Linked DNA regions of Struthio camelus. The protein of the gene in region 1 purifies or fractionates together with the protein of each later gene. This does not show direct contact. Links are inferred from orthologs where the notes say so. Each region holds a gene or a part of one and is shown in the gene's direction. Other genes may lie near its edges. The genes, in order: CCNF, NUSAP1 and RRM2.

Region 1 (7,839 bases):
TTGCAGGGAGCATTAGAATGTCACAGTCATTTTGTTTTCAATTCTGGAACCAACTTCGACAGTGCTACTTTGAGGGAGAAAAAACCTCTGCAAACCATGCAACTCCACTGTGCAATGTATACACACGCCTTTTTACTGTAAATCTAAATAAAATTACTTTTGGAATGGCATGTAATGCAACCTCTAGTGCTCAGCTGCTTGTCTACGATTTGCTCATCAGACCGAACACATTCTGAATGTCTGAATTAAGTGGCTTGTTAACCTATTCACTAGCTGAGGACATTATATGGGATGTTACCTTCAGATTTACTTTTGTCACTTTCTGAAAAGTCCTATTTGACTGAAATTCTTCATCTCTATTCTCTCCTTAAAATCTACCTATTTGAATCTGATCACATATCCTACGTACTAGGGTGAAAAAATACATTAGCTCTAAAAAGACTTTCATGAATGTCCATCTAAAAAGACTTAAAAGTTCCTGAGAAAGAGGACATCAATGAGTAATAATCTCTATACCAATAAATCCTCTTTCTCACACAAATGGATTAAAAAACATGCAAGTTGGTGTATGCCTGATTAAAAGTTATTTTCAGTAAGTTTACTTATAGAACTATATAATGTCACCTGAAGATAAGACTAAAACAGCAAAAATAAAACAATAAATCCTAAGCATGAATAAAATCCTTAAATTACAGACATTTCTGATTAGATAATTTGTTCTTCACCAGAGCAGCCATAGAGCTGCTTACTCTGCCCCTTCTCTGGCCTTCTGTCCAGTACTGCTGCCAGGGAGAGGAGGATTTTTCCCTTTCACTCCCTTCACAGGGGAAGAACTGTGTATATGGTGCTGTGGTCTCTGTACTCAAAAATATGCTTATGGCAAACTGTACCTAGCACTCAGAGGAGAAAGGGTTTGTGATGGGCTGCAGGTTTCTGCGAGAGTTTTTCTGCCCTCTAAGAAAGTTGTCTCCTACAGAGACAAGCTTTGTCTTGGAAATAAAGCACTCTGTTTTGCCAGGGGAATGTAGCTGTTGACCATGGTCCTTCTTCTAGGGCCATATTGCTTAGATGCCATGGTCTCAGGCCCTTGAGTGTCTTGGTAAGAAGGATCAACACCTTAATAGAAACTTGAGCTACCATAGCAACATCTCTTGCCTCCCAGAAGAATCACAGGTTTGGCAGTGTAGTGTTACAGCTGTGTTGAGCTTTGTTTAAATCTCAGTAAGGTAAACAAAAGGCCTTTACTATGTTTTTCTTCACTTCCATAGCAAACAGATGTGAAGGGGGGAAAAAAGCATTCTGATTCAGGAGAAACACAATCTGTCTACTGTTCAGTGGAGAAAGAGACATAATAAATAAGTAGAATTTCACTCAGAAATTGGAGACAGTGATTAAAACACATCCTTAACAGCCTTATTCCTGTTCAGGGACAGATTCTTAGTTGTGTAATGCCTTTCTGAGAAGGTGCAGAAGTGTGAAAGACAAGGAATCCAACCTGGCTTCCAGCTGTCACTTGGAAAGGGTGCAGGTCTCACTTCTGTTTCATGTTTGCCATCTCTGTGCAAATGTGGTAGATACCACAGGGTTTCTAAAAATTTGTCAGATGGCCATGTTTGGGCAACATGAATGCCACCCGCATACTGCTCTGCCTCTGATCTTATTCATGTCAGTGATAAAACCATCTGGGTATTCTGCCATTTGATTCAGACCAAAGTTTAGTGCTTTTGAAAATCCCAATCATAAATTTTACTTTCACAGAAAAGACAGAATATTGCCTTGACTAATATTTCTTATCCTTTCATCATCTTCGTAGACCTGCTCCAAACCCCGAAATGCAGAGAGACTCCTTCTCATGGATTACAGTTGACTTTGGATCAGGCCTTACGTGCTCATTCAAGTTGGGCATACTCTCACCAGTAAATCTGGGCACTGCTTCTATTATCCTGCTCCACACACTTCTTCCATCTAGAGTCACAGTCTGTTTCTTGCTACAGCATTGCTAACTCCCATCTCTCCCTATGCCTACTTGTTTTTCTGTTATAACCTTTCCGATGCCCTGCCTCCCTCCCCCATTGTAACTTTTGGAAAGAGTGTGACTGACCTGAGGGAACTCTGCAAACTATGGATCACCTGTGACTCAAAGAGCATCTCCTGGTGGTACTTTACCTCTTTGCGGGGAGGTGATTATTCATGCTTTGTTTGCTCATTCAACTTATTAGCTGACAGAAACAGCTGTGAGGGGGAGAAGGAGACAGCATGATTAACTTTTTACTTCAAAATATTTCTCAGTTAAAAGAAGCTAAAAATTCCCTTTGTTCCCCATACTACTTTTTCATGTCAGCAATTGCTGCATGCCCCAGGAACATTATGCAGGTTTGTGGATGGAAGCGGAGGTGGATCTATGCGGGAGAAAGCCTATACATAAAGGTATGCGTATTACAAAGACAGGTTCATGCTCTCAAAAAGTGTGGGCACATCCGCTGTCCCTCATGGTCATTGCACAAGAGTGTGGGTTAACGCAATGGGCTTCTAGTTCCAGCACTGCTAGAGTTGTAGTGTGACCTTAGACAAGTCATCTAACTTTTCTATCTCACCTTCCCAGCCATGAAATGAGATTACTTTGAGAGATAATTATATTTTTAGAGCTATCTGAATCCCTTACATCTATGCATGCACAGAAAAGTATCCAGAATTTCATGTCCTAAAGCTGAGAAATACATGAACTCATAAAATCGAGGGATGACCTTTAAAAAAAACTCATAGAAATGCTACCAGGAAGACACCTCAACCGTGCTAAGACTGATGATGCTTATTCAAGGTACACAGCAGTGGGGAAGTTCCTCACAAGCAGAAATCATAATATAGTCATTTTATGCCTAACAAAATGATAGCTCCTCTTCTTGCTATCGTTTTCTAAAGGACCCACAAAAGGCTTTGTTGAGCTAAAGAGATAACTGGTAAAACTGATCTTCCCTCGGTTAGCTTTGTTCATCTGCCAGCCTTTTCAAGACACCTCTTTACCTCTCTCTCTGTTCTTTGCCTGCTTAGTTCCTAGGCTTTCCCCTGAATTCTTGACTCAGTTTTGAACTTTGACTCCTAATTGTCTTTCAAATTCCACCTCACTCTCTAACACACCGGGACACCAAGAGAGGCAGGAGCAAGGCAGGGTTCTGCATCCAGTTAAAGTGCGAGATGCTGTTGCAGTTAACGGCATCAGAAGCCTGTCTCTCCCACTCCTTCCTCCTGCAGACATGCCTTCCCTCTGCTTTTCTTGCACCAGCACTGATAGTCTTAGGCCCCAGACATTCTGGGAGTCTAAATGAGTGTAAATAAGCCCAGAAGCGTTTTTTGTCTGTTTTTAGTGTGGTGTAGCTCCCCTGGCTGGACAAGCATGTGTGTGAGCACAAGCAGCTGTGGGTGAGAGGTGCTGGGGTGGCAGGAAGGCTGCTGCCAGCAGGGGCCTAGTAGGCATGAGGGCCTCATGGCCCTCAAGCCTTCTGAAGGGCTGAGGCCTCCCCTGTGCCCTAACTGCAAGCTGCAGGCCCCCTCTCCATGGCCCCTGTGTGCTTGGGTGACACTACGACATGACCCCCAGCTCTGCGGGGGAGGGGCGCGTCACGGGCGCCCGCTGTTAGGGCACACAGTCCCCCAGTTGGGGGGCAGGGCTGCCCTGGGAGCATGCGCCCCTGTCGCCCTGTCCATAAGATGCTCGAACCGCCAACTGCCCCAATTCGAATTCGCATCCTCAACGCCCAATCACGGCCCATGGGGCGGGATTGGCACCACCTCCTACCAGTCTCCCCACCAATCACAGCGCCTGCTGGGTTTAAAAAAAAAGTGCGCGCGGCTGGTAGGCGTCGCTCACAAGCTCTGGGCCTATCCCAGGCGGGGAGGAGTTCCGGTCCGGACGGGGCGACGCCTCGGGGGGGCGGGGCCCGGGCGGAGCTCGTCGCGCACGCTTTCGCTGACCTTCTCTGAGGCGAGAGGGGGCGGGGCCGAGAGCCGGAGGAGGCGGGGTCTGTGGGCGGAGCCCCGCCCGCCGCCAGTGCTTTGGGGCCCGCCCCCGCGCGGCGCGCGTCATTCGGAGCCGGCTCTGGGACGCGGCGGCTGTTGGTGCCGCTCGGTTCCCCGGGGACGCGCGGAGATGAAGGCGGGTGGTGAGTGCGGACCGGGCCGCGGGGCTCTGGGCCGGGCAACGGGGGCGCCGCTTTCTCCCGCCTCAGTTCTGAGAGGCGCCGGCGGCTGTTCCCCGCGCCGCCCCGGGCCCCTCCTGAGGAGAGCTCTGAACGCGCAGAGGGGCAGCCGAGGCGAGCGGGCTGCGGGGCGGGAGGCGGGTTGCTGTCCCGCAGCCCTGCCTGGGCACCGCCGCGGCGCCTCCCCCGCCCGGCGGGCAGCCCCGGCCCGCGCTGGCTGCGAGGCGCCGCGGCGGGCTGATGGCCCCCAGGGCCGCGAACCGCCCTCCGCGGCGCGCGCGGAAATTCAAACGGCGCCGGCGACGCGGCCTGCCCGCCGGGGCGGGTGTCGGGGGGCCGGGCCGGTGCTCTGCCCTGGGGGCGTGCTCGGCTACGGCTGGAGTCCTCCCAGCTCTTCCAAGGGCTTCTCGCTGCAGGCCTACTTATTTTAACAGAAATGACTCTTGAAGTGCGGCTTTCTGTGTTACTGGGACATGGATGTTCTAGGATCTTACCTGAGTTTGTGCTTTCTAGTCTTTTTTGCTGCAGTCTCTGCAAATAGTCTATAACTCCTGGGTGTGTTTCATTGCTCTTTTGCTTCTCATTTTGAAGCCAGCTGTAAAGAAATGTAGGCTGCGTACAGAATAACATACTGGACAGCTATGAAGTTGTTGGGCACAAACTGCGATACAGGAGATTTTATTTAAATGTGAAAAGAAGCCTTTTTTACTCTGAGGGTGATCGAACATTGGAACAGGTTGCCCAGAGAGGTTGTGGAGTCTCCATCCTTGGAGATAATCAAAATGTGACTGGACGTGGCCTTAAGCAGCCTGCATAACTGACCTGCTCTGAGCTGCGGGGTGGGACTAGAGGATCTCCAAAGGGCCCTGCCAACCTCAGCGGTTCTGTGATTCTGTGAAGTAACAAACAGATTTCCCTGTATGGCTTCCTAACTTTTGAAACAAACTTCTGTTTCCTAGCTTGCCTGAGAACCCCATGCTCCTGAGTCATTCCATGTTCATGCAGGTGTAATTGGCATACCAGTATAGATGTCCTTCTCTTTTTCATTGCAATAATTCTGCTGAAATCGGCTCCAGAAAGGGAAGGGGGTTGCGAAGGAGAGCAGTATTCTTCCTTGCACGTGTCAAAGGTTTTTATTTTCATGGCAATAGCCTGTTATTCAAAGGCAGGTAACAGGAAGATACGTGCTATACTGGGAGAGCAGATGCTATAGTGTATCAGTTTGATTTATTCCACTAAACCCAAAATGCTAAGGGATTTAACAGTGTGCATAGCAAGATGAGTACAAAAGGGTGTTTCAGCACAGTGGCTTTCTAGCTGTTGTTTATGAACTCACAGAATCACAGAATCGTTTAGGTTGGAAGGGACCTCTGGAGATCATCTAGTCCAACCTCCCTGTTCAAGCAGGGTCACCTAGAGCATATTGCCCAGGATCACATCCAGACGGGTTTTGAATATCTCCAGCGAAGGAGACTCCACCACCTCTCTGGGCAACCTGTTCCCAACTCCTTGGGAATCTGCAAGCTACTCCTAAGAATCCTGCTGAAAAGCCAGATAAAACTTACTTTGCAAACTGAAAAAACTGTATAAAGTAATTGAAGCTGATGCAGTAACTGTGCTTTTGAACGAATCCTCTATAAGCTCTACATTGGCTAGGCAGTCCGTAAATCTGGATGCTTCCTAGTTCTATGGATCTGGCACAGTCAGAGGTAGAGATATAACTGGACAGTCCATATATTTTCCTATTCGTTGCATCTACAGCAGGTGATGTGCTCTATTCTTCTCAAAGATAAATGCAACTTACTGCTTCTCCAGCCTCTCATCCAAACTCTCTGTAAAGAACCAGAAAGCTGCACTAGATCATGAGGCTTTCCACGTGATAGGTTATAACCATGTCTTGGTAAACACTGAAAGTAGTAGAGTAGGCTGGGGCGGGGAGAACACACACTTCATGGAGGAAAAATACTTCCCTCATTAAAATTATCTATCTTCAACTCTGGCTTTTCCAACTTTTAATTTCATTGTGAGGAGAAGAAAACTTGGCAGTTGCGCCATCCTCTCAGCTTATGCGTTTGACCATGTAATCTAGAGAGGCTGTATAAGTCTGATTGTTTTACTTCATAGATAATAGGCTGTGGTTTGGCATATAAATTATATTGCTACTTTGACTCTACTGTTCTGTTTTTATTCACTTCAACAAGACTCCAAATTAGAAATTAACCTGTGGAAATAGGGTAAAAATGTTAGCATCTATATGAGGCAAAGTAATGGGCTGTCTAATGGAGTCTATATCTTTTATGACTTTTTTTAGAATGAAGTCAGTAATTACGTTTTCCAAATATAATCTCTTTGTATAAGACTTAGAAGCCAGATTTGAAAAATACAGGCAAGAAGTCTTCCTTAGCAAAGGCATCAACATGGTCCTTTGCACTGTGGGACTGAAACTTTCACTTCAGAATTTGTTTTCTGAGCCCTTGTATCTGCCCTCTTCTGTCGCAGAAATGGACCTCTGTTGCTTGCATGGGCTGCTCTTGAGAGCTCTATTTTGAGTGGATTACTGCTACCTTTGTAAGAGGTTGACATTGAAATGAGCAAGGTTGATATCTCTGTGATTGCTTGACAGAGCTCTGAAAGGAGGCAGAGCATGAAATATCATTGGGGGGGAGGGGGGATCCTCCTACGCAACCAATAATGTGGGAGTGAGCCTTCTCTACCAGGTACAGTCTTGAGGTGAAGGAGCATGCTCTTTTCCTCCTGGCAACTTCACTGATTTGAATTTCTAACATACTGTTAGTGTTGGGGCCCCTGAGCACAGGCAAGAGAGAGTGCAGTGTTTGGACTGCCACTGAGAGGCTATCCTCAGCAGATGGAAAACAACTGGGCTTTCTACCATGGGGTATATCTCCAGCAAGTGGAACTGGCGTGCTTTTCTCAGTTTCGTCTCATGTGTCAGGTAGTTTTCTACTCTTGGCTAATGCATTGAGGGTAAACTCTGCCTCAACAGGAACAGAAGATGTAGGTAATGCTTCAGCCTGAATGCTATGACATGCTGAAACTTTAAGAAAGGGCTTCCTGCTTCTTTGGCATCTTCCATAAGTGTCTGTGGTAGACAAATGGCCTCTTAGAAAGATAGGCTTTTGTCTTGAGCTAGTTTAGCAGGTCTTAAGTTACTAATCTCTTTGGGCACGTTTTGAAGACTACTGTCAATTGAGAAGGAAAAATCAGGATGTGGGGGGAGGTAAATGAAGTGACAGTTTAACTAAAATCATTAAAATGATGGAGTTAGATTATGGAGGGATTCTGCTCAATGGGAGAGGACTTGAGCTGAATTGCTGAAGTCAATTGCCCTTCTGAGCCTCTCAGCTTAATCAGTTAAAATAATCATTCATTTCATAACTAAAACTGCTAAATCATTGACTTCATGCTAAATGTGTTTATTTTTAAAGTCTCTGCATATGTGATGTCCTATGCTGCAGGAGAATAGGTACAGTAACACTGCCCATCTACATGTTTATATATGTGTATATAGTGGGTTTTTTTCCTCCTGCTGTTTCGTGGCTAACTGAGGTGTTTCGGTTTTTGTTTTCTAGTAATTCACTGTAGATGTTCCAGATGTTTTTCTTTCCCTTCAAAGCGAAGGATAAGA
Region 2 (7,839 bases), on another chromosome or scaffold:
TTCTCTGGGTTTCTCTTTTCAAGAGGCAGAAAAATCCCTTCTTCTCTCTTGATGACATTCAGGTACCACAAAAATATACATACTCATTACAGGGTAACACACTTGTCAGAAAGTTAGCTAGAACTTTTTATGTTTTGCAGATAAGTTGTTACGGAAAATGTTTTGTATGTTCCGCACGTGTATCATAGCTACATTACAATCCAATATCTTCTACATCATCTGCACTTAAAAACAAACAAGCAAAAAAAAAAAAAAACAATATTTTTGGACTGATCTCTAAAAAAAAATTTGGCATTTTTTGCATTTTACATACAAAGTCATGTAGAACCTTACTTTTCCGAGTTCTTCCTTTAGGCTCAAAGCAGGAAAATTTACCTTAGAGGCTTCTATTATCATTTTAGTTTTTAAGAGATAACTGGAAGACAAGCAGGGAAAGGGGAAAGACAAGAAAAACAGTTTTAAAAAACATGGTTGTATTAATTGTTTAGACAGACTATTTAAGATGATTTTAAGGAGATCGTATAACTGCTGTCAAAAGTAGTCAATATATTATGAAAATATTTAAAACATAACAATAGTTTTACTTTCAAATCATAAGATCTCTCATCATCAACTAAAAGTAATTTATAGTTTCTATAATCAAGTCTTCAATCTAGCACAGAACCGTTTTGATACGTTACTTAAGTGGATCTGGAAGTAAAGTTGATCTCATACTGCAAGCACTTAAATTTAATCCTTGAAATTACATGAGGATACTTAAAAATGTAAGCCAAATCAAATGGAATTGTGCCAACATGAGCAATTTAAATAGAAAGAATATTAAAACCCATGCACCAATGCATTCAAAAGTAAAACAGCTTCTGTTAGCTGTAGATTAATTATACTAATAACTAACTATCTGATTAAAACAGAATCACTTACAAACTCCTGTGAAGTCATTTACCATTAAAAAAAACAGCATATTCACCAGAGGATGCTGTCCTTGAAGAAACAGAAGAAGCCTCGGAGATAAGCCAGATCACTGAAAGTAGAATACAGAATGAAGCCCACAATCAAGCCACATGAACGACAGGATAATGCATTGAAAGTGCTGAAAGGAGAAAGGGGAAAATAGTATGTTTAAACAGAAGCTTCTGAAACCATAGATACTGCCTGCTAATCAGAGGACATCAGGTTATTAGTTTTACCAGAAGAGCAAACAAAGTGCATAATATTACTTTTCTATATATGTGTTATATATATGCTCGTATATATAAAATTTATATTTTATATAAATAAAATATATAATTTATATATTAATTTAGATGATATATGCTTAAAAGGCAGGAGCAGGAGGAAAAAAAAGGGTAAAAGGCTATAGGCTACCTTTTACTGCATTGCTCAAACATTCCTCTCTCTCCGTTAACAAGGGTAAATGCTGACAAAACTTCTTCTGATTTTGATAAGAATTAAAGCTACACATATACAAAAGAATTTTCAGTTCAAAGTTATGAAGTACAGGTCCAAAAATCACTTAGGACTTTATCAATTCCACGAGACATCTCAGTGCCCCAGCTAGAAAACGTGCAGGAACTCTTTCCCTCTGACTTTGGGGAGGCCTATTTTGGTCCACCTATTTCATCTGATGACTAAAACTTGATGTCAAAAGCAAGAGGTACGTCCGTTACCTACCAGCCTAGGAGGGCTCCTTCAAGGCCGATCATTAGCGACTCTTCCCAAGCAACCTCATTTGTGACTTCTACGAAGAAAGGCAGAGCCAGTGAACAACCCCAGAGCAACGGCCGGTCGCCCCAGCGCCCCCCAGCACGGCAGGCGACGCAGAGCCCCGCCGAGGCGCACAACGGGCCTCTTTCTAACGCGGGGCTGGAAGTTTCCGCTCCGGTATTAAAACCTGCATTAGTAAAAGCTTATGGCCCTGTCCCGCCAGCCCGGACACCCCTCGCTCCGCAGCCCCGGCCCCGGCAGCACTGACTGAAGCAGGCGAGAAGCCCGAGGCGCCGCTCCTCCTGCGCGCACAGGTGCAGCGAGTCCCCCAGCACGGCCCGGCAGCCGCGGCACTGGAACACCGCCCACTCCTCCGGCCGCAGCCTCCGCCGCCGCGCCGCCTCCGCCGAGCCCGCAGCCGGCGGCGGCTGGGCCGGCGGCGGCTGGACCCGCGCCGGTGCGGGGGGGGGCGGCGGCGGCCGCTCCACGGTGATGACCCCGCCGAGCTGCGGGTCCTGGAACAGCTCCTGCAGCCGCCGCCTCACCGCCATCTTCTCCCGCCCTGCGTTCGAGAGCGGCACCCGCCTTCTCGGCCTCCCCATTGGAGCGTGGGACACAGCTCTGCGTTGCCACTGGGCGAGAGACAAGTCAATCCTCCTCGCCTGAGACCATTGGGCAATCAGGCAGGCGGGGGCAGGGTTTCCCCTTACCGGGAGCGCCTATCGCCTTTGAAACAAACACGATCCCTGTGGCCGGGCCGCTATTGGTGGTTACCTTGCCCGCGGGCCCGTCCCCTTCGCTCCGATCAGCCAGTGGGAGGGCGCGGCGGGCCAGTTCGAACGGCGGGGGCGGGGCAAGGCGCCGTGTCAGTTGAGCGCGAGATTCGAAAGGCGGCGGTTGGGGCTTGCCGGCGGGCGGTGGTCGCGCCGCCATGGCGCTCTCTTCGTTGCAGCAGCTGGACTCGCTGAAGTACATCGAGCTCCAGCGGATAGCGAAGGCCGCCGGCCTGAAGGCCAACCTCCGGGTGAGGCGGCGCGGCGGCTGCCCGGCCGCGATGCAGCGAGCGGCGCCGCGGCGCGGGGCTGGCGGGAGCTCCGGGCTGCCCGCTCTGGCGGGCGGGCTCGGCTCGGCTCGGCTCGGCTCGGCTCGCCTCCGGCGCTGCCCCTGCGCTCGGCCGGGAGCTCTAGGGCGGCGCCGGGGGGAGCGAGGGGCCCGGCGGAGCCGAGCGGGAGCGGCGGGAGTGTGGGCGGGCGGGCGGGCGTCGTGGGGGTCGAGTGCCCCCGGCGGCCCCGCGGTCGTTGTTCTGCTTTCGGCCGCTGCGATGAGAAAACCTGCGGTCTGGAGGTGGTGTCGGCAGAGGCGCGGCTCGGGCCTGGGGCGTGGAGCCGGCAGTTTGATAGTTTGACGCTTAAGCGTTCCTTACCGCCTTCAGTTAGGGGCGTGAGACTGTAGACGAAGCTGAGAAGGCGGGGCTCCCTTCTTCCCGGGCCCCCGACCGCCCCGCGTCCGGGCTGCGCTGGCGCGTGGAGCCCCGCCGTGCCCGCGCTGCCCCCGCCGCGCCGGCCGTACCCGCCGACGCGGGCGTTTCATCCGACTGGGGCTGGGAAGAGTGGTAACCACGGGGAGCCTGAAGGGTCGAGAGTGATTATTTTTTACTTACCGATAGGAATTAAGAACAAGGAGTTAAAGCATGTGCCCATCTGTTTTGCCTAGGGCCCTACGGGTATATGACAGTGACCCAGCCTGGCCTGATCTTGGCAGGTACCGCTGGTAAATCCCTCAGCAGAAGTCAGACCCGCACCACCAGTGCGAGAAGGCGTACAGCCTTTAAAAACAGACAGAGGGAAACCCCAGATGCACCACTTATGTGGTAATTTGGATCAAGGATTAATTGTCCTCACAGGACTGAGGCTTCTGCTTGGGGTTTTGGTTCTCTGTTACTTTGTGTGTAACTTCTAGTTCAGAACTGATTTTATGCTGACCTTTCCAGTTAAAGTCTTTTATTCATAGATTAAAACATCGATGGTGTGTCTTTTTTTATTATTATTCTATGTGAATATACAGAAGGGATGAGGAGAATGCTTTCCATATAGTATTGTGTGAAATGGGAAAAAGTTATTAGAGAAGTTGGGTGCAATGTTATTAGCATTCAGTTAGGCTGCTGAAATAGTTTCTTTTATCCTAGAACAATCGACCTTTCTGGACAATAGCTAGACCAGAAGAAATCTGGTCGGGGAAATCTCTCTTTGTATGCTACATATTTAGCCTGGGCCTTAAGTATGTTCTCAAATCTGACTGACTTTAATGAGGCTTCAAGCATGCTTTAAGAGTTCTATTTTATTGGATTCAGCAAGTGCTTTGCTAGTTTGGACTGATTTTTAGGGTGCTTATAGGGTTTGTGCAAGTGTCTGATGACTTAATATAATCTTTAGTTCATATGTTTTGATTTCTCTGCAGGCAGACAAATTGTTGAAAGCACTGAAGCAACATTTTCATGGAGCAAAACAAGAAAATGAAAATATGGTAATAATGAGAAATTAGCTATTCTCTTTAAGAAAGATAAATCTAACTTTGTAACTAGTAAAGTATGGCATGTAGTGAATGTCGCATTTAACATGGTGCAAACTGTAACAAAAAATATATTTTTTTTAAACAGTGTTCAGTATACTTGCATACTGATTGAAATAGATGTGTTGATATTAGCTTTAAAGTGGTTGTGTGTATGACTGAAGGCTGATTTTTTTTATTTTTTCCCCCCACCCCCTCATGCCAAAAACAGCAGTGTATTTTTTCAGTGTAAGCACAAAATTATCCCCTGTGAACGCTAACACTTCAATTTCCATTGACCAAATCTTAATTTTTGCCTCTTTAGCTCCAAGTGCTAGTCAATACTAAATATAAAAATGCCTAGATGAGGGAGGGACTGGGTATTCATCTCAAAGCATTCTCCATTTACTACAGTTTACTTACTGATGTTATAAGAGAAGAGAACCTTTCCTTTAATCATCTCTTAATATGTTATTTTCTTGATTTTTTTTTTTTTTTCCTAAAGCTTTCCCTTTTGTAAGTATTTCATTGAGTATGGAATGTTTATACATTTTTTGACAAAAGTAAATTAGAATCTATTTAAAACACACCATATATTTTAAATGCTTCCTTTATAATCTGCTTCTTTTAAAATATGGAGAGCTTGTGTAATCCTTGTCAGTTTATTTTTAATTTTATCAAGCTTCGACGCATGAGTAACAACTTGAATATATTACATATTTTTCCAACATCTGATTACAGTCTGGTATGATAAGTGTGGAAGAATGCTGTTGTTGTATCTCTCTCTTTTTTTTTTTAAGGTTATTCCATAGGAATGTAAAAACTTGGCAGATCACAGCATCATGCAAGTCAAATTTCCAATATAAACTATTAGGTTTTTTTAAATGTCTTTGTAGAATATTGTGCATATAATGAAACAACTGTAGGTTTTCTGTCTCAGTCTTCCAATAATCAGCTTGCTATTTAAGGAAACCTAGATATCACTCATTCATTGCTGTGCTACTAAAGACCACGCCTTTTCCGATAATAACGCTGAGGCTGTCTCTTTGTAGTATATGTCAGATATGTTTCATATGATGATACTTATCTGATATAGGACTCTGAAGAAAGTGCATCTGCTTCCATCGAATTGGATGAACAGAACAGTCAGGAGGAACTTATGCCTGATCCAGTGTGTTTTATCACAAAAAGGCGTGGAAAAGAAAAGAAAGCAACCAGAAAAAAAAACAATTCCAATGAGGAAACTAACAGCAGTGAAGACAATACAGGGCATTCTGCTGAGAAAGAGGTGATTTACGTTTCTTGGGTTTGAGTGTCTGCCCCGTCCTCCCTCCGCTAAACACATGTAGTGAAGCATAAGTTAAACGGAGTTGATTCATTTTACCAGTGTTTAACAGGTAACATTCACTTTTTGGTATGCAGACCTACTAGTGTTATTGGTCTTCTGTGCTTTATAGCTCTGTTTTTGTCCAATTTGACTATACACTACTCCAAAATGAACATATAATTTGTTCTTTTTGTACATTTTTTTGGGGGGGAGGGAATATTATTGAAGAAAAAGATCAAATAAAGACTGTATCATTCAAATTATTTTATCAGAATATAAGACTATTTTCATTGGTTCATCATAGTATTCACGAGATTGTTAGGCAAGTTTTGAAACTTATCTAAAATCAGGCTGTTTTCACTTTCCTGTATAGTAAAAATTCACAGAAACTCTGTGATTGCCTTTTCATATGAATTCCTTTTTCTATTAAAAGGTAACTCTTAGATTATTTTCTGAAGAACTATACATAGAGACAGACTAACTACAAGGCAGATTAATTGCTCTGGTGGGCTGGAGGTTTCCCATTCCTCTCAATTTCAAAGTATGTGGGGCGAGTGTCTTGGTGTGTTCGGCTGGTTGTTTTCTCCTCTCTCCCCCCCCCCCCCCCCCTTTTTTCTTTTTAATATGTATTGGTTGTATGACTGAGGGAGAGGAGGTTTTCAAGGTGAGGTGGGGATAAAACTTTTTTCTTCTCCCCTCTAAAATCACATGCAAGTAGAGGGAGAACTAAGACAGAACTTTATGAAAGACTTTTACTGGTGTAAAGGTGGAAGAATGAGAATAAGAGAAATCATTTTTTAGGTGAAAATTTCTCAAAATGTCTGAGTAAGCAAAAGCCTACAGTAACCACAGCTACAGTAGTAAAAAGTGACATGGTCAGTGAATTTATGTTTTGCCAACAAAATCAATTTAATATTAAAGTGCTTTATAATTCAGGTTGGATTTCAGAAAATCTCTTGTCTGTCCTGTGGAAAATGTTTTCCTTATGTCCAGTTGAAAAAATCTGCCTAACCGAAGTATGTTTAAACCACAGGAGCATTCAGAAATGAAAGAAAACAAAGTGCCACAGCATGAAAAGGGACAGAAAGTATTCCAAAACGATAAATCAGTAACTAAAAAGAGAGCTATAGAGAATCCAGCGATGGGTATGGGGCAGAAAGAGCAACCAGAGAAGATTTCCACTAAGAGAAGTGGAGTGGAATGTAAGTAAAAACTTCCAACAGAGTAAGTTTAGTCATTCGTACTAATTAAAATAATCAAAAAGTGCATTTGATTGTGTCCACAAAGATTTTTGTGGAATGTCTGGTGATCTGATGGACCAACAGTACTTGAGTAAGGATACTTGAACAGAATCTGTGTAATTTAGGCTTATGTACTTGTTTGCTTATCGTATTGTAAAGCAAGTTCACACAGTCAGCAGTATAGCCGTTCTGCTGGATTTGACTTGAGAACTGCGGTCCTGTTGTTGATTGGTTTTAGTGAAGGAGTTCTCAAAGATCTGAGCGTATTTGAGTCTTGCACCTTGTTTAGGATCAGTGCCTTTAGGAATACCACTGATACGCTACTCAGCCCCTTTGGAACGAGGCAAGAAATGGAGAACTTTCTTCCTCGCACTTCATCTTTCTTTTCCTACTTACTGAACTCAATCTGAAGTCTGTAGTTGACTTTTTAAAATGAAATACAATTAAGTACTAAATAAGAAAATAAATTTAATACTATACTTAAAAACATAGGTAGAGACAAGATTAAACAGAAGCTGACCTGAGGGCAGAAATGATAAAAAGAACTCTACTCTGTGTATATTTAAGGCAGCAGCTGAAAAGTTTGCTAAAAAGTGTTTGTTCTGTCAGGTATCAAAATTTAAAAATTGCTAGCTTATTAAGCAGTTAAAGATCTTCTCTGCATTTAAAGTTGTGACAAGCAGTTTTCTTGCTAATTTGTATAAATTTATGTGAAATAAGAGAAGTAATAATTCAAAATAAAATAACCTAGCTTGAACTGCAGATTCACGTTAAGCTTGTAGTTCACCAAGACATGTCATTATTGACATACACCATTTAAAAGACTTTCAAAAGACTGAGGACAAATTCATTCTAGTTGACCTTTTATTTCTCAAAGGAAAGAGATACTTTGAGGAGAGGAGATATACTTTAGAACGCATGCTTCTTGCGTTTCAAGTAGCTTTTCAAAACGGGCTTTAATTACGCTAAATTAATGTCCAGTAGTCCTAACCACCTTGCCTAACCTCTCTGCCCTAGGTG
Region 3 (7,839 bases), on another chromosome or scaffold:
GGAGGGTGGATGAAGTAATTTGGCAGGGGCAGGGAAAGAGCTGCGGTAGCTATCTGCTAACCCCTCCCCAGCAGCAGATGGTGGCAGGGCAGGGTGGAGTGGTGTGCAGTGCAGAGGTGGCAGGAGATAGTCGGGCTCCGTATGGGCTCTATGAAGCATTTTGGAGCTGTCTGGCATTCCTTCCCCCAGAAACCCGCTTTCCTGCGGCAGAACAGGAGGCTGTTCCTACACTGGCTGATGGATTTGGGTAGGTGGGTTTTTGTACCTGGCTTTGCACTGGGATGGCCAACAAATAGCCCACTCGGCTACCTCCTGCCTCCCCTCTGCTGGGGGTAACCAGTGCCTGGATGGGACAATAACACCTCTGCTATCTATGCACCATGTCTGTGCCATCAGAATAAACTGGAGCTAAATTCAGCGCTTATTCAGGGTAACTGGTTTTCTGGAATGGCTGGGGTTAAGAGGGGCTGCGATGTCCATGTTTTAGTGGGGTTTGGCTGCTGAAGCCTGGCCTCTTCTCTGAGAGGGTGAGGATCAAGGCCTGGAGCAAGAGCCACTGTCCTCAGACACAGACCTACCTGGGCAGGAACTGAAGATACTGCCTTAAACATTTCCCGAAGTCCCTGACTGGAAGCAAGCCAAAAAGCAAAAAGCATGAGGTATTGTTGCTGTTTTTGCCTTTCCTTGGCCCTCACTTGGCCTCTAGGCCAGAATCCACCTCTATCTGAGTATATATATCTGAGGCGCACCAAATGCCTGGTTGCTACAGGTGTCTAGGATAGCAGTGATGGTCTCATGGCTTCCTGTTCTGTCTGTGGCAGATGGCAGTCATGGCTTGTAGCATTTTATCTTAGATTGGAAGCTTATTTGAGGGGATGTGCTTTTGTGATGCTTTCTGTCCTGGGATTGCTATATACATATATATATATGTATTTAGCCCAGAAGGTCCCACAGAGCATCTCCCGGGTGGATGCCTGCAGTGAGTCCAGCGTCCTACATAGGACAAATACCACAGTTTGATGAAGGACTTATTCCGCTGGCCATTTCTGATATGCTCCCGCTGAGGAGAGTCAGACCCAAATTCAGTGATCTTGACGCAGTTTTGAAATGAGTAACACACTTGAACTCGCAGTGTTAGATGATGATGTCAGAAGGGAATACTCTTGGTTTTTGTCCAAATCTGCTCACTAAAGCAGTACACAGTATTGTCATATAGTCGAAAAGATGGTTTAAGGGGCTGCAGCGATGGGCAGGTCCCTGAATGTCCACTTTCTATCGGCTTCCCTGGGGGCCTGGTCGTCTGCTCCCCTCCTGCCTTACCTGCCTATTTTCTAGCCATGCCCTGGGCAGCACCGGGTCTCATAACTCATGGCCCCCGGTCCCAGTAGCAGGCTGGGCTTCTGTTTGGGTGACAGTGACTTCAGTGGCATCCCACACCACTGAAGAGCCTAAAAGTCCCAATAAGCTTCTAGTTTCATTAAAACTGAGGACATGCTTCAGTGAATCAGACCCGGCACAAGCCATATGCAGTGCTGCTGTAACGCCAGCAGTGCGAACCACCGGAGGAGGGCCTCTTGCTCTGGGGCTCCAAGGGAAGCAATCAGCCTAAAGCTGTGTTAGCAGCTTTTTGCTGCTCTTTGTGAGTTATGAAAACGTACTTTCTCTTTCTGTTGTCCCTGAGAAAACTTTTTGGTCCGTCTGCAGGTCCTCCCTCTGTGGAGTCAGGCTGCACTGACAACGTTCAAAGCTTCAGCAAGACACACACCTTTCCTGTCGTGGCTGGGACTGGCCTGGGGACACGTCACGGCCCGCTGCTATTTTCTTTCGTAATATCTGCAAGTTAGAGTGAGCTGGTGTGGGGAGGGAGGAAGAGGGAAATGCAGCTGCTGCTTAAATAAAAACGATTTCATTAGTGTCAAATAAATATTGACTTTTTAAAGCAGATGAATCTTCTTTCTTTTTCATTGCTATTTTCTTCCCTGCTTGTACTATTTATTTAAACCATATGAAACCGGGTGGCATATGGAGGCTGCTTCTCCATGAAAACAATTTCTGTCAAATGCAGCCATCCCTGTGGAGGGAAAGGGAAAATGTATCAGGATGGGGGAGGGATCAGAAGAGAGGGGGGAAGAGCAAGGCAGGGAGGGGGGAAACATGGCATTTCCAAAGCTCTACCTTAAAGCCAAAATCTGGAATTAAGTTACTCACTTCCCTATTACATCCCAAATCTTTCAAAGCCAGATACCATATTTAGGATCCACAGCCACGCTTCTCTTTAGAAGAGGTTATGCATACCACAAGTGATCAAGGCTGCGGGGTTTTTTTTTTAAATATATTTTTATGTACCCTTTATTCAGCTGTGAAATAACTGCTATGTTTTACATTAAATCCTGTGCCCCTAAACGCTCATCGGCGATAAATGGAGGCATTTACAGCTTTCCAGAAGATTAGCTCAAGCCTGGAGAAAGCAAAACCGAAGATCCTGTAGGGTTTATCCACACGGAGACATGCCCTGGTGCAATGTGCAGCAGTTTTATTAGCGTGAGGTGCCCCACTGACACCATTAATCTAGAATAAAGGTGGCTCTGAAGCCAAGCGACGCTGCTATAGACGTGCCCCTGTGAGCCCCAAGTGGGAAGCTACACCGGCATCAACCCGGCGCAGTAATTCAGCTGGAGAATTTCATCAGCTGCCAGGCCCTGTCGAGGCCAGGGCGCAGGGAAGCACGGCAGCAGGCCTCTCCCCCGAGGGCGACGGGGCGGGGCGGCCCCGGGGCGGCGGCGGCGGCGGCCACCAGCCCGCACCGCCGGCCGCGAGGCGGGTAACGGCTCCTCACAGCCCCGGGGCCCGGCCCCTCCCCCCGCGCAGCCCCCAAGGTGCGGGGGGCGGGGCAGGCGCCCGGGGGCGGGGCTCCCGCGCTCTCCCGCCTTTTTCCCCGCGGCGGGAGCGCCGGGGCGAAGGGCAGGTCCTCCTCTCCCGCCACGGCGACAATGGGAGGCTGGGCCCGCGCCGCGCCTGCAGCCAATGGGCGTGCGGGGGCGGGGGCGCCGCGCGCCCGGCTCGGGCTGTGAGTGGGCAGCCGGGCGTTCTGGCGCCAAGTTCGAAGGGGATATAAAGGGGCGGCGCCGGGCGGCGGTGCGTCCCGCGTTCCCGCCGTGAGCTGCTGACAGCATGCTGTCCTCCCGCGTCCCGCTCTCCGCCCGCCACGACCAGCCCCGCCTGTCGCCGCTGAAGAACCTGGCGCTGAGCGACAAGGAGAACACGGTGGGTTCCCCCCCCCCCTCCTGCCGCCCCCCGTCCGCGGTACCCCCAGCGCCGCACGGCTCTCACCGCCGCTCTCTCCGCAGCCCCCCGCCCTCAGCAGCACCCGCGTCCTGGCCAGCAAGGCGGCGCGCAAGATCTTCCAGGAGGCCGAGGGGAAGCCGGTGAGTGCGGGCCCCGGCGCGGGCTGCGCGTGGGGACCGACCCTCCCTCCCTCCCTTCCCCGCGGGCATCTCGCCGCCTCGGCGCCCCGTGGCCGAGCGGCGCCGCCGCCCCCGCTGGCCTCCCGCCGCGGCCCGGGGCTGAGGCCGAGCCGCTCTGTGCCCGCAGGTGCCGCGGGCCGCCGAGGAGGAGCCGCTGCTGCGGGACAACCCCCGCCGCTTTGTCATCTTCCCCATCCAGTACCACGACATCTGGCAGATGTACAAGAAGGCCGAGGCCTCCTTCTGGACTGCCGAGGAGGTGAGGGCTGGGGCTGTGCCGGGAGCCCCTGGGAGCTTCATCCCTGCTTCAAAGGCACTTCTCCTGCCATAATATTAATAATGAAGCTGGACAAGGTTACCTGATTTTTCCGTAGCCCTAAGGGGATTGTAACATCTCAAAACACTTCCCTAACATGCTGCTGAAAGTGCACCCTGCTTGCAGGGTAGCACCTCGGACTGTGGTACGAACACTTTACCTGAAGTGTCTGTTTCTCTTAGGAGCCCTTTATTGTTTCATTGCTTCCCTTGTGTTTCAGGTGGATCTTTCAAAGGATATCCAGCACTGGGAGTCGCTGAAGCCTGAGGAAAAATACTTCATTTCCCATGTCCTTGCCTTCTTTGCTGCCAGTGATGGCATTGTGAATGAGAACTTGGTGAGTGTGTAGAAAGGGCCCTGAAATAACCTATTCCATGAAATGAAGGTAACCAAATAACTACATATTTAATGAGGTACTTGCTGGCCTATCTAGCTTGTTTACCTGTGCTTAAAAACTTTAATATTGCCTTATGTTATTAAGTGAAGTGGGGGGGATGCTTTTTAAATTCAAGAGGCTGGCCGTTTTCCCCACAGAGCAGAAAGCACTGCCTTATAGTAACAACTAGCCTACTCAGAGCCCTTGCTCTGCTTCAGATCTGTCAGTGTTCCCTTAAGGGAGGCAAAGCCAATTTAAGATGTTCTTCTCTTCCTTTGGGGACCAAAGAACAACTTTACAGCTGCAAGTCTACTTAAGATGCTGGTGCTCTTAACGTTTCTGTTTAGAATCTAAACATGTGGATTTAGTTTGAAGATAATGTTATAGGCTAAGCAAATGTAGCTCCTCATAGAAAGCATCAATACCTTTAATATACAAGTTAGTGTTTGCAGAACCATTGATAATGAAGTTTTTTTCCTCTAGGTGGAGCGGTTCAGTCAAGAAGTACAGATCACAGAAGCCCGTTGTTTCTATGGCTTCCAGATTGCCATGGAAAATATACATTCGGAAATGTACAGTCTTCTTATTGACACATACATTAAAGATTCAAAAGAGAGGTTAGTATTGCTTGATAATGAAAGGTTCAAAACTGATAACTGAGGTTTACATGATGTGCATCATTCGTGTTTGTGACTTTAGTCTAACTTTAGGATTTGAATTAGATTAAAATATCACTGAAATGCTGCTTAAGATGGACTTTTAAATATCTTTCTGCTCCTAAATGTATGAGCAAGACTTCATCTAGGTTCAGAGTAAAAACAGATACTTAACATTGAAATAATGGAATGAGACTAAACATCTAACAGGTAACATGGTCAAATAAGGGCGTATGTTAAACCACAGTAAGCTCTGCTACGGAGGACCCACTCCGTTGGTAGGTAGCTATGTAGGGAAGTTTCTCTAAGGATAACAGCTTTTTAAATAAAATAGTCTCTAATACTCACTGTATCTAGTTAATGACTGATGCACTCGCCATATGCTGCTGTTAGAGACTTGACTATTTTTGACTTCTTTCTAAAATAATAAAGGCAAACTTCCTTTTTGACAGCTATATGTAGATAAAGCTGCATGCTTGAAAAAAAGAATAGTGATTAAAAGTATCACCAAAATGTAACTTTCCCATAACAAGGTGGATCAGTTCAATAATGGGATCTTCTTAAAACTCAGTGCAGGGCTTTGAGCAACTTGGGCTTTTTCGAGTTATTTTTGGAATGTCATGGGAGGCAAGCACCCTACTGGGGTAAAGTGTTACTGAAATGCTAGCTGCAGTGTAGAGGTACTTATTTAATTGCTGTTACTTTGCAGAAAGCTGACTAGCCACATCACTCTTTCCTACTTGTGGGTGCTTAATTGCTTTAAATTTTTAAGGAAGAATTGCTTATGTGAAAAGTTAGATGCCTTGTCACGGAAAAGTGGAGGTCAGCTGCTCTATAGTTTTGAGACTTGTTCAAGCATACTTCTTGAATCAGTACTCCATTTGGTTTTGTCATGGGAATTTGTGTGAATTCCTGTTGATGTAATGTGAAGGTCATGCAAAGGTAGATGAGCACAAATGCAGCTAGGTTTGGTACAAAATAAAATGGGAGGGGAGCTTAAATACTGAGGTGAAGGTACAGAGCCCTTGTAAGTGAATGAGGCCATCTACAGCTGTGAAGGCTTATTGTACTGGTTGCTTTGCTGAAATCTTGTCCTAATGAGTTATATGCTTCTCAGGGAATTTCTTTTTAATGCTATTGAGACGCTACCATGTGTTAAAAAGAAGGCTGACTGGGCCATGCGCTGGATTGGGGACAAGCAAGCAACATACGGTGAGTATGTTTTTTAGAAGCAAAGTGAAATTTCTTCCCTAAAAGAATGGAAGAACCGCTTTCCAGAACTTGTCCAGACTTCCTCACAGTTCACAGGGATTATTGTTGTCAGGGTATGAGTAAGCACTATCTAGAAAATGCTGGTATAATTCTGGAGATGAAAAAATCTTGTTTGTCTTGCCGATAAACTGATGATGCAAATCTCTAAAACTGCTAGTATTTTGACTAACGGTAGCTCCTGTGGCAATCTCTGTATGATCAAATTGCAACTGTTTCTTGTGTCATGAACTGCACTGGTCTCTGCTCTCTGGTAGACACATTCAGTTGGAGGCTATGGCTCATCTGCCTTACTGATTTTTGATGCCTTGCTTAAAAGGTGAAAATGAGATGGTAGAGAGTGCAGCGATTTCACTGCTATTAATGTTCCTCATGCACAAAGTTCTTCACTTGAGCAATGATGAGCAGTCACTGACTTTAATCTGACACTGAAGATGACTGTTCTTTGTTCAGTGTGTAATCTATGGGGGAAAAGGTGGTATGACATTTAACCTGGGGGAAGGAGTGCTGGCTTCAGCTGCCTACCACCTCCTCTAATTAGTTTTTACTTTGCTTTGCAGTTTAAAAAGTATTTTGCTTTGACAGAAGCCTTTACTATACCATTTCCAGGGACACACTATAGCACACTTGAGCAGCAGTGCTTTCATTCTGCTTGAAAGACTCAGTTCACTGGTCTATTCACAACTTTTGAGTTTTAATCCTGGTAAGTTTTCTACATGTTAGTGAAATCAGTCTTTTCTTACAGGAGAACGTGTAGTAGCTTTTGCAGCAGTGGAAGGAATCTTCTTTTCTGGCTCATTTGCATCAATTTTTTGGCTGAAGAAAAGAGGATTAATGCCTGGACTCACTTTTTCTAATGAACTCATCAGCAGAGATGAGGTACAGATCAAATTCTAACAGTTAAGATGATTGTGCCACAGTAGCTCAAAGTAATGATGTTCAAATGGAGCCTATACTTCAAAATAGGAGTATGTTTATAAACAGTCTGTAAAGCTTACTAACATGTGTAAATGCATGTGGGATCATGAATCTTATGCCAGTGAATGAATATACTTACCATTTTATTTCCTCAATAATAGTTCAAGGTTTCCCACCAATTCTTGCATGTGTCATTTGTAGGAAGTGCAGCTTGTATTGTCTTGGTTATACCTCTGTCTGGTTAGGCAGAAAGTTGCTTGTTTAAAAAAATACATGGCAAGTGCAAAGATGGTATATAGATATGGGATTTTTTTAGCCACTGATTTGTGTGGCTCTTCAAAATCAGTGTTCCTGACATGATTTTCTGAAACTTCTTTCCAGGGCTTGCACTGTGATTTTGCCTGCCTCATGTTCAAGCACTTGATACACAAACCATCAGAGGAGAGAGTTAAGGAAATCATAATGAATGCTGTTCTCATAGAACAGGTAATTGCCTGCTCCTTGTTTAAAATTGCTTCATAATTAAGCATAAAGCTGGGGAACTGTTGGGTGTGAAATTACCCTAGACAGTACAAAATGAATGCCACAGTTTCTGTACATTAAGTGTTTGTTATCTGCAGGAATTCTTGACAGAGGCATTGCCTGTAAAACTGATTGGTATGAACTGCACTTTAATGAAACAATACATAGAATTTGTAGCAGACCGACTTATGCTGGAACTGGGATTTAACAAGGTAAGGCTAATAAGCACAAGAAAAACATTTTAACTTAATTTTCTCCAGAAACCTAAACCATAAAACAGCTGCAGCAATATTGGTTTAACTTCTAAATCCAGTTAGC

What was found.
Region 2: the proteins of CCNF (region 1) and NUSAP1 purify together in Homo sapiens (affinity purification with mass spectrometry; 3 studies listed by BioGRID, with this or other methods). This does not show direct contact. The link is inferred for Struthio camelus from reciprocal best matches to the Homo sapiens genes CCNF and NUSAP1.
Region 3: the proteins of CCNF (region 1) and RRM2 purify together in Homo sapiens (affinity purification with western blotting; 5 studies listed by BioGRID and IntAct, with this or other methods). This does not show direct contact. The link is inferred for Struthio camelus from reciprocal best matches to the Homo sapiens genes CCNF and RRM2.

What each region holds. Positions count from the first base shown.
Region 1 is NC_090956.1:21,000,953-21,008,791, forward strand, and holds the start of CCNF (cyclin-F), read left to right. Parts: upstream 1-4,083; 5' UTR 4,084-4,144; coding exon 4,145-4,157; intron 4,158-7,783; coding exon 7,784-7,839. UniProt on the Homo sapiens protein: Substrate recognition component of a SCF (SKP1-CUL1-F-box protein) E3 ubiquitin-protein ligase complex which mediates the ubiquitination and subsequent proteasomal degradation of target proteins.
Region 2 is NC_090946.1:41,226,592-41,234,430, forward strand, and holds the start of NUSAP1 (nucleolar and spindle-associated protein 1), read left to right. Parts: upstream 1-2,540; 5' UTR 2,541-2,635; coding exon 2,636-2,728; intron 2,729-4,161; coding exon 4,162-4,227; intron 4,228-5,347; coding exon 5,348-5,539; intron 5,540-6,611; coding exon 6,612-6,780; intron 6,781-7,836; coding exon 7,837-7,839. Other genes in the region: OIP5 (protein Mis18-beta), read right to left, coding at 334-415, 968-1,090, 1,672-1,738, 1,973-2,255. UniProt on the Homo sapiens protein: Microtubule-associated protein with the capacity to bundle and stabilize microtubules. May associate with chromosomes and promote the organization of mitotic spindle microtubules around them.
Region 3 is NC_090944.1:24,608,319-24,616,157, reverse strand, and holds the start of RRM2 (ribonucleoside-diphosphate reductase subunit M2), read left to right. Parts: upstream 1-2,937; 5' UTR 2,938-3,171; coding exon 3,172-3,264; intron 3,265-3,347; coding exon 3,348-3,425; intron 3,426-3,591; coding exon 3,592-3,723; intron 3,724-4,000; coding exon 4,001-4,117; intron 4,118-4,639; coding exon 4,640-4,773; intron 4,774-5,929; coding exon 5,930-6,024; intron 6,025-6,826; coding exon 6,827-6,960; intron 6,961-7,380; coding exon 7,381-7,485; intron 7,486-7,619; coding exon 7,620-7,733; intron 7,734-7,839. UniProt on the Homo sapiens protein: Provides the precursors necessary for DNA synthesis. Catalyzes the biosynthesis of deoxyribonucleotides from the corresponding ribonucleotides. Inhibits Wnt signaling.